Ovis aries: one gene and its partner. The protein of the gene in region 1 purifies or fractionates together with the protein of each later gene. This does not show direct contact. Links are inferred from orthologs where the notes say so. Each region holds a gene or a part of one and is shown in the gene's direction. Other genes may lie near its edges. The genes, in order: VBP1 and PFDN1.

The links.
Region 2: the proteins of VBP1 (region 1) and PFDN1 purify together in Homo sapiens (affinity purification with mass spectrometry; 4 studies listed by BioGRID and IntAct, counting the BioPlex papers as one, with this or other methods). This does not show direct contact. The link is inferred for Ovis aries from reciprocal best matches to the Homo sapiens genes VBP1 and PFDN1.

What each region holds. Positions count from the first base shown.
Region 1 is NC_056080.1:81,701,978-81,705,892, forward strand, and holds the start of VBP1 (prefoldin subunit 3), read left to right. Parts: upstream 1-1,018; 5' UTR 1,019-1,041; coding exon 1,042-1,134; intron 1,135-3,915. UniProt on the Homo sapiens protein: Binds specifically to cytosolic chaperonin (c-CPN) and transfers target proteins to it. Binds to nascent polypeptide chain and promotes folding in an environment in which there are many competing pathways for nonnative proteins.
Region 2 is NC_056058.1:49,170,754-49,174,668, reverse strand, and holds the start of PFDN1 (prefoldin subunit 1), read left to right. Parts: upstream 1-1,571; 5' UTR 1,572-1,587; coding exon 1,588-1,620; intron 1,621-3,915. UniProt on the Homo sapiens protein: Binds specifically to cytosolic chaperonin (c-CPN) and transfers target proteins to it. Binds to nascent polypeptide chain and promotes folding in an environment in which there are many competing pathways for nonnative proteins.

The sequences.
Region 1 (3,915 bases):
ACCTGTGCTCCTTTCCTACCCTGTGCAGGCAAGATAGAGACGTCCGTGTTTCTTAGTTGTGGTTTGGTCACTAAGTCACGTCTGACTCTGTGACCCCATGGACTGTAGCCCACCAGGCTCCTCTGTCCATGGGATTTCCCAGGCAAGCATACTGGAGTGGGTTGTCCTTTCCTTCCCCAGGGGATCTTCCTGACCCAGGGATTGAACCTGTGTTTCCTGCATCTCCTGCATTGGCAGGTGGATTCTTTACCCACTGAGCCACCAGGGAAGCCCGAGGCAGGAACCAACATGGTGCTCCGATGTCAGAAAACAGGGGGGTAGTGGTGAATGAGCTTGGGGATTCCTTGGGTCTAGAAACATCGGGAAAGTTCTTAGGATTTTGTATTAATATGGACAGTGTGAAGTTTTGAAAACGTTTGAGCTGGTGGTGAGAGTCTGATCAGAGGTGCTTTCGGTAAATTGTGATGCAACGGGCGGGGTATTTATTAGAATCAGGCCACTAGGTCCCCTCGGAAGCAGGCTCAAAACAAGCACCCTTCAGGAGCCAAAAAGCTCGCGAGGATCGTGGGCCCAGAATGTCACCGAGGCCCAAGTCCCGTGGTGGCGTCTAGGTCTCGAGTCTGCTTGAATTCGAGAAGGGATCGGGTAGCTCCGATGGTTCTTCTGGAGAGGCCTGTTCCGGGCTGGCAGTGGAGTCTATTCCGGCTTCTTCCGGGATTGTCCGCATCCTCCAGCCCGCCGCCCCACCCACAAAACCCCCGGAATCCCTTTTCCCAGGACTCGGTATTGGTCCTTCCCGCAGAGCCAGCCTCGCCTCCGCGGCCCTTCCACTCCTGTCACTCACCCGCGCAGCCAATTAGAGCCCACAGATCGAGCGACTCTGCCGAGCGGGGGACGGGGCGGGGGGTATTTCCTGTAAGCCAACGAACGCACAGACTCCCAGGCGGGGGGGCGGGCCCGCGACTGTGACCCGAGCCAATCACAGGCCCCCGGCTACAGGCCGCTCGCGAGGCACGTTAGTCGCGCGCTCGCTTCTCCAAAATGGCGGCCTCTAAGGACGGTTGTGGTGTAGGAGAAGTGGCTGCGGGGAACGGGAGGCGACTCCACCTGGGGATTCCTGAAGCGGTTTTTGTGGTGAGTGGCCAGCGGGTGTTTGATGCTACGCTGTTGTACCCTTTCTTCCTGGCCCCTCACCGGGGACTTGGTTGTTGGGGAGAGAGGCGTTGGGCCCAATTACCTGGGAGGGGGCGCTCCGGCCTGGACGGACTAAACTGGGGCGGGACCTGCCTGGGAGGGGGCCTGCCGTCCGAGCAGGTCACAGGCGCTAAGCGGGCGCGGGGCCGGAGGACTTGGGGGCGGAGGCGGGCCGCTTTGAGGGACCGCCTTCCCCCGCCCTCCGTGGCCTGCGGTTCCGACCCCGCTTCCGAGAAGACGGGAGGCGGTGAGAAGCTGGACCCTCAGCCTGGATTCTGGGGAGACCGAGGGGGACGGGGTAACGGAGCTGGGGCTCAGGTGTGAAGCTCGGAAATGACATCTCGGGTGTAGAAGGGCTGCGGCGGCCTGTGGCTTCCGAAGAAGACCCCATGATGGGGGCGTCGGCCGGGAAAGCTCTCGAAGGCCATGTGAAACCCGCTAGGCCATGGAGGCCTTAGCCCGCTGGCTGCGGGCGCTCATTAGACAGTGAAATTGCAGAGTCGTGTCCAACTCTGTGACCCCATGGACTGTAGCCTACCAGGCTCCTCAGTCCATGGGATTTTCCAGGCAGGAATACTGGAGTGGGTTGCCATTTCCTTCTAGTGAAGCCACTTGTAATCACTTTGAGGTACACGGTTCTAACAACGTAGAGAGTCCATAGGGTGCAGTTCACAGAGGAAGCCGGCAGTGCAGTATTGGAGGGTTCATTGAACGGGGAGACTAAACCAAGGCCAAACAGAGAAGCACGTAGAGGCTTTCAATCCTGTCTCTCCATAAGGCTGTACTCGAAATAGTGTTTGAGAACTAGTTGAGTGTTGAGAAAACCTGATGGGTGTTCCAGGCCAGTATCACCCATCTTTCTCCACTCAGTTCTGGCTGAACTACTATGAAACCTTAATGGAAATTTCTCCACCTTTTGCTTTGTCCCGATATTGTCTTAATCTCTGCCTTTAAAAAGAATTTATTTATTTTAATTGGAGGCTAATTACTTTACAATATTGTACTGGTTTTTGCCATACATTGACATGAATCAGCCAGTGGTGTACATATGTTTCCCATCGTGAATCACCCTCCCACCTCCCTCCCCATCCCATCTCTCAGGGTCGTCCCAGTGCACCAGCCCTGAGCACCCTGTCTTATGCATCGAACCTGGATTGGCTTTTTGTTGATGAAATCGTCCACCGTTCAGAAGACCCTTGTCTTTTATTTAGACCACTTTTATATGCACTGTATGAATATTTGCATTGGCTGACTCAGTTTTGTCCTATTTTATTTTATTTTTGTCCTTGAAGTGTGCCATGTATTTCCTTCCACTCATCTCCCACTTAATCATCAACAAGAGACAAAATTTGTTGAGTACCAGGCACATTCTAATGCTTTTACACAACTCAGTAAGAGGCAAATACTGTTATTCTCATTTTGTACATGTTCAGACTGAGCCCCAGAGCCCTTGAGTAATTTGCCCCAAGTCACACAATGTGTGAGTGAGTTATCCAAGCTTTAAACTTGGTCAGTCTGTGGGCTCCAGACCTCTACTTCCATGCCATGCTCTGCTGCTGGGAGGAAAGTGAGGTCATTATCTTGCCCCCGATCCTAGCACAGTGCCTGACACACAGTATAAACTCATAACTAAATGTCAGATTGAATTTCCATAATGCCTTAAAATCCTGCATTCATGGTGCTTAACAAATGATGGCTTCAGAAATCTAATTCAGGAAGATGAAGTTTATCAAGGGGCTATATAAAGTGTTATCTTAAAATGCATTTTCTCTAAAATGTTATGAGTTGCTTTTTCTAGATCTTTAAAATTTCCATCAATACATTATATAAACAATCCACATTTATATAAATATTTTAATGTTCCCCAACTAATGGGAAATAGCATGGTATTTTAGAAAGAACATTGGTTTCGAGACTAGAGTTTGAATCCTGCCTCTGCTTCCCAGTTGCTGCTTATCTTGAGCATATTGTTTTACAACTTTGAGCCCCTCTGTTTCTTAACTGAAATAAGGATAACATTACTTACAGATTTCTTCTGAGAAACAGAGAATGTGCTTTCAGTATTGCAAGTAGATACTTAATACATATTCATTTCGGTAATAAGGCAATGTACCATAGTGGTTAGAAGTCAGATTGCCTTTTCCCCATTCCAGTTGGTACAGTAATTTTTTTCTTTCTCTGCTTTAATTGATCTTTTCCCCCCTTGTCCATTGTTTGGCTGCACCATCTCTCAACATCTAGTTCAGATATGATCTCTGTAGTTTTTTCTGACCACCACCCTGGGGTAGAATTCTTGGTGCTTCCATCTGTTCCCTTAGCCATATCTAATGTTTGTTGAACACTTACTAGCTTCTGTGTCCTCTTCTGAGTCTTTGACATGTGGTAACTCATTTAATCCCCTGTAGGGAAGAGGCACTTTTTTCTTTTACAGATGAGGAAATTGAGGCCAAGACAAGAATTAAACAACTGCCTCACGGTCCACACAGCTAGTACGTGATGCAGCCAGCATTCAAGCCATGCAGCTCCTGGGTCTTAACCACAGACTTTTGCTGCTGTAGTTCCTTCTCCTTGCTCGTGTCTAAGCTTCTAATAACATGTGCCAGAAACATTTCTTTTCCTATAACAATCCTTCTAGGAAGATGCTATCTCCAAAATGCTATCTCCTTGCACTTGATCGCCATGCAGAACTCAGCTGTTGCCTCAGGCTTTTTCAGTTTTCTT
Region 2 (3,915 bases), on another chromosome or scaffold:
TATAGTCTATGGGGTTACAAGAGTCAGACACAATCTAGTGACTAAACCACCACCACCACCACCAAGTTCCTTGTACAATGGAATCATACAGTATTTGTCTTTTTGTGACTGGTTTATTTCACTTAGCATAATGTCCTCACATTTTGTTTATCCATTTGTCGAATGATGGACATTTGAACAGCTAATAAGTCTAATAAAAAAAAATTTTTAAGACAGATAGTGTCATGTGTCTTGAAAAAGGAACAGAAGTAGTCTTGAAATTCCAAGGAGAGATTATTTATGGTCTGTGTGATGTAAAAAATAAAAAAAATACATAATGGATACATATTATGTGTCTGCTGCTTGCTGTATCTTGAAAGACAAATATAACAATGCTAACTACATGAACTTAATTATACCTTTTTATTGTGTGCCTACTGTGTGCATTGTGCTATGCTTGGAGCTTTCCATCCTGATCTTGTTTACTCCTCAGAATAACTCTGTTAGGTCAGTACTGTTATTCTCATATTAAATGAGGAGACAGACTCTGTTGATACACAACTAGTAAATGGAAGCAGACATACCTACGCTCAGTGTAGACCAAACCTTGAATACAGATTTGTTTAGTTCCAAACTCCCTGCCCTTTCCCCTGCCTCACAGGTTTTTAGAGTAAGGAAGATATCCATTTCTTTCATGTCCATCCTTCTAGTCATCCTTCTGGTTCAAATGCCAGCTATTTTACAGCAGATTTTCAAAATGTGGTTTGCAGTCCACTTAGATCAGATCATAAAAGGAGTTTGCAAAAGTATGTATTTCTGTGCCCCATATCAAAGATTCTAAGTAAGTTTGGGATGAGGATCAGAGAATCTGCATTTTTTTTTTCTTTTAAAAAGAAATTTGGTTTCTCGTGAGAACTCCTGTGTCTACAAGGTCTTCTGAGAACATTCAGTATAAATAAGTTCTTTGGGAAAACGCTTCAACTAAGCCTTCTGGACACGGCTGAGCGACTGAACTGAACTGAAGCCTTCTGGTCTTCTCCATGCTGCCATGTCTGAAACTCAGGCTGATTCTTTCTCATCCCTCCCTGACAGCACAGGACTCGCTGAAGGCATGAATGACTTTAAAGGTTTTAGCTTGATCTACATACATCTTAATTTAGCGACACAAACTAAACTATTTGTCGAAGTGGTTAAAACCACACACGAGGGGACGGAGGCGGGAGGGGGGTTCAGGATGGGGAACACGTGTACACCCGTGGCGGATTCATGTTGATGTATGGCAAAACCAATACAATATTGTAATTAGTCTCCAATTAAAATAAATAAATTTATATTAAAAAAACACACACACGAAATCTGCAGATTGTGCCGTGTTTGGAAGGATGTGGAGAATCACGGCAGGCCCATAGGTCACGTGGGGAAGACGTACTCTGAATCGGAATCCCGGTTATTTCAGGCGTTAATAACGACGGGGAAGGTAGGAAAACCAAGCAGCCCCACTCATGCGCAGGCGCAGAAGGAAGAGGCCCTATCAAATCTTCAGGGCGCGCCCTTCCCCCACGCTCTTTCCGGGCTTCTCCCACTGCGCAGGCGCAGTAGTGAAGCAAGATGGCGGCCCCCGTGGATCTGGAGTTGAAGAAGGTAAAAGAGGGTCTTGAGCAGGCAGAAGCTTTTCTTTGGAAGCTAAGGCGACTGTGGACAATAATGTCGAGTGAGTCTCGAGTGCTGCGGAAGGAAAGAGGCCCCAGGGAAATGGGGAGTGGTTTCTCAGAGTGCAAAGGCGGGACCGGGCCTCCTTAGGCGGGAGTCGAGGGCGAGCGGCTCTTTGCCGGGTAAGAGCCGGTTGGGCTGGGCCTGGTTAAGTTTGGCGGGCCTATAGCTGTTTTGTTCCCTTGTTCCGAGCTCCAGAGACCTTTCGTTGCTCTTGGTGCCTTCAGTTCCATAGTGAGGCCTGAAATGAGCGCTTCCAGTTGGAGCCTCTTAGCCTGCTTGCCCGAGCTGTAGCATCTGTAATTCTGTATACTAATTTGCTTTGAAAAACTCCAAGTCCAGTCTGTTTTTAGGTCAGTTCTTTAATCCCATATCTTGTAAGGTCGCTTCATACAGTTCAGTCAGGTATCCTCGTAGCAATGTTCATCTTAGGGCTTTGCCAACAACCGCCCCCTCCCCACCCTCGTTTTTAAAGATTTGTCAAAGAAGAAACAAGTCAAAGGTTTCCAGATCAAATTGGTATCAGAAGGAATTGAGTTTCTCTCTTCAAACAATTGCCTAGAAATGTGTTGTTACACAGAAATGTTTTCACCACCTGAGAGTTGTCAGGATTCTAACACCACTACCGACTCAAAAGCGTATCCTTTTTTTTTTTTTTTTTTTTGCGAAGAGAAGGAGAATGGGGATTGGAAAGGAGCCTAGACTTCATCTACTTTAAACTGATACTTTTCTAGAAAAGGAAACAGTTTAACAGAAGAGTCAGCCCAAGCTTGGTTCTAGAATATTGCATTCTCTGCCTCACTTTCCACCTTTTGACCACTACTTGAGGTTAGAAGAGCAAATTTTGTTTAAGACTGTCTTGTAATCTATCTTTGCATGAGAAATAAGACAGTTGAAGTAGCTCTTCCACGTAATAGATGAAGCAGTGTATTATTGCTCTGAGGATTTGTGTGTGTGTATTGCCTTTTGTTTGGAACTTGTACCTTTACTCCTTATGGTGCTGTCTAGTGCTGTATTATCTCAGCTTTAACAAAATACTAGCTTCCTTACCAAACTGTGTCTTAAAGTGTTTTAAAAGTTTACCTTTTTTTTCCGTTAAAAGTTCAAATTTAAGTTAGGGTTTAGTGAGAGCTAACAATAGAATACAGCTATGAATGGACTTACCCCTCAGTATTATTTCAGTCTGTTGCTGGGAAACCTGTGGACAGTGAATGCAAACTAAGAAGATAATTACAGACTTAAATTGGGTAGTTTTGTCAACCAATAAAATTACAGAAGAAACTTGTTTAAAGGTCTTTTAATGTTTATAATTTTGGGGGGAGGGGAAGGGATGGAGACTAATAGGAAACTTTAGGTACCTCCTCTCCCCTCTAGATAAACCTTTTGAAACCTTACTAGTAGGTGAGAACAAAGTCAGAATAAAAGTTAGTAGCTTTTTGCCATGTATTGCAGCCACAGATGTTATTATTAAGTCAGAATTTGACAGCATGTGAAAATCATTCTAGGCACTTCAGAAGTATCAAAAACCTTTTAACAGTACTCAGAGGTCAAGTTTGGCTTATCGTGTGCATATGAAGATCATGATGCAATTCTTTTATCAATGCTTTGAATTTTTTTGTGTGTCTTTCTCTTAAAATATTCATTTTCTGAATATTACTGTGGATAGTAGAGTAGAAAGATTCAGTAACTAGCGGTCAGAAGTTAATTAAGTACTTGGTTTTTGACCTAGTAGTTGCTCAGCCCTGTGAAAGTCATTTATATCTCTTTAAAACATTTAGTTAATTTGTAAACTGTGCTGATGAATCTGCCATCCTTAACTCAGGATTATTGAAAAGAGAAAATGAGACATTTATTATATGTCAGTATTCTCATATTAATATTCACATGTTAATATTTCAAACAAGTGTGGGAAAGTGCTTTAAATAATCTTGAGTAGTACAGATGTGGTGAGTTGTTACATTAATGGTTCCTGATTTGGGTCTCTGGGTTTGTGATTGTTGCCTTTAGAGCTTTTATTAATCCTTGGGTACCTGCTACTTGATATGGTTGTTATTTACCGTGCCTTTGTTCAGCTTCTTCAGATAGGTTGCATCTTCTGAGGACTGGGTAAGTTCAGTACAGTTGACTCTTGAACAGCATTGGTTTAAACGTCAGGGATCCAGTTGTACACAGATTTTTAAAATAGTAAATACTAGAGTACTACATGATATGTAGTTGGTTGAATCA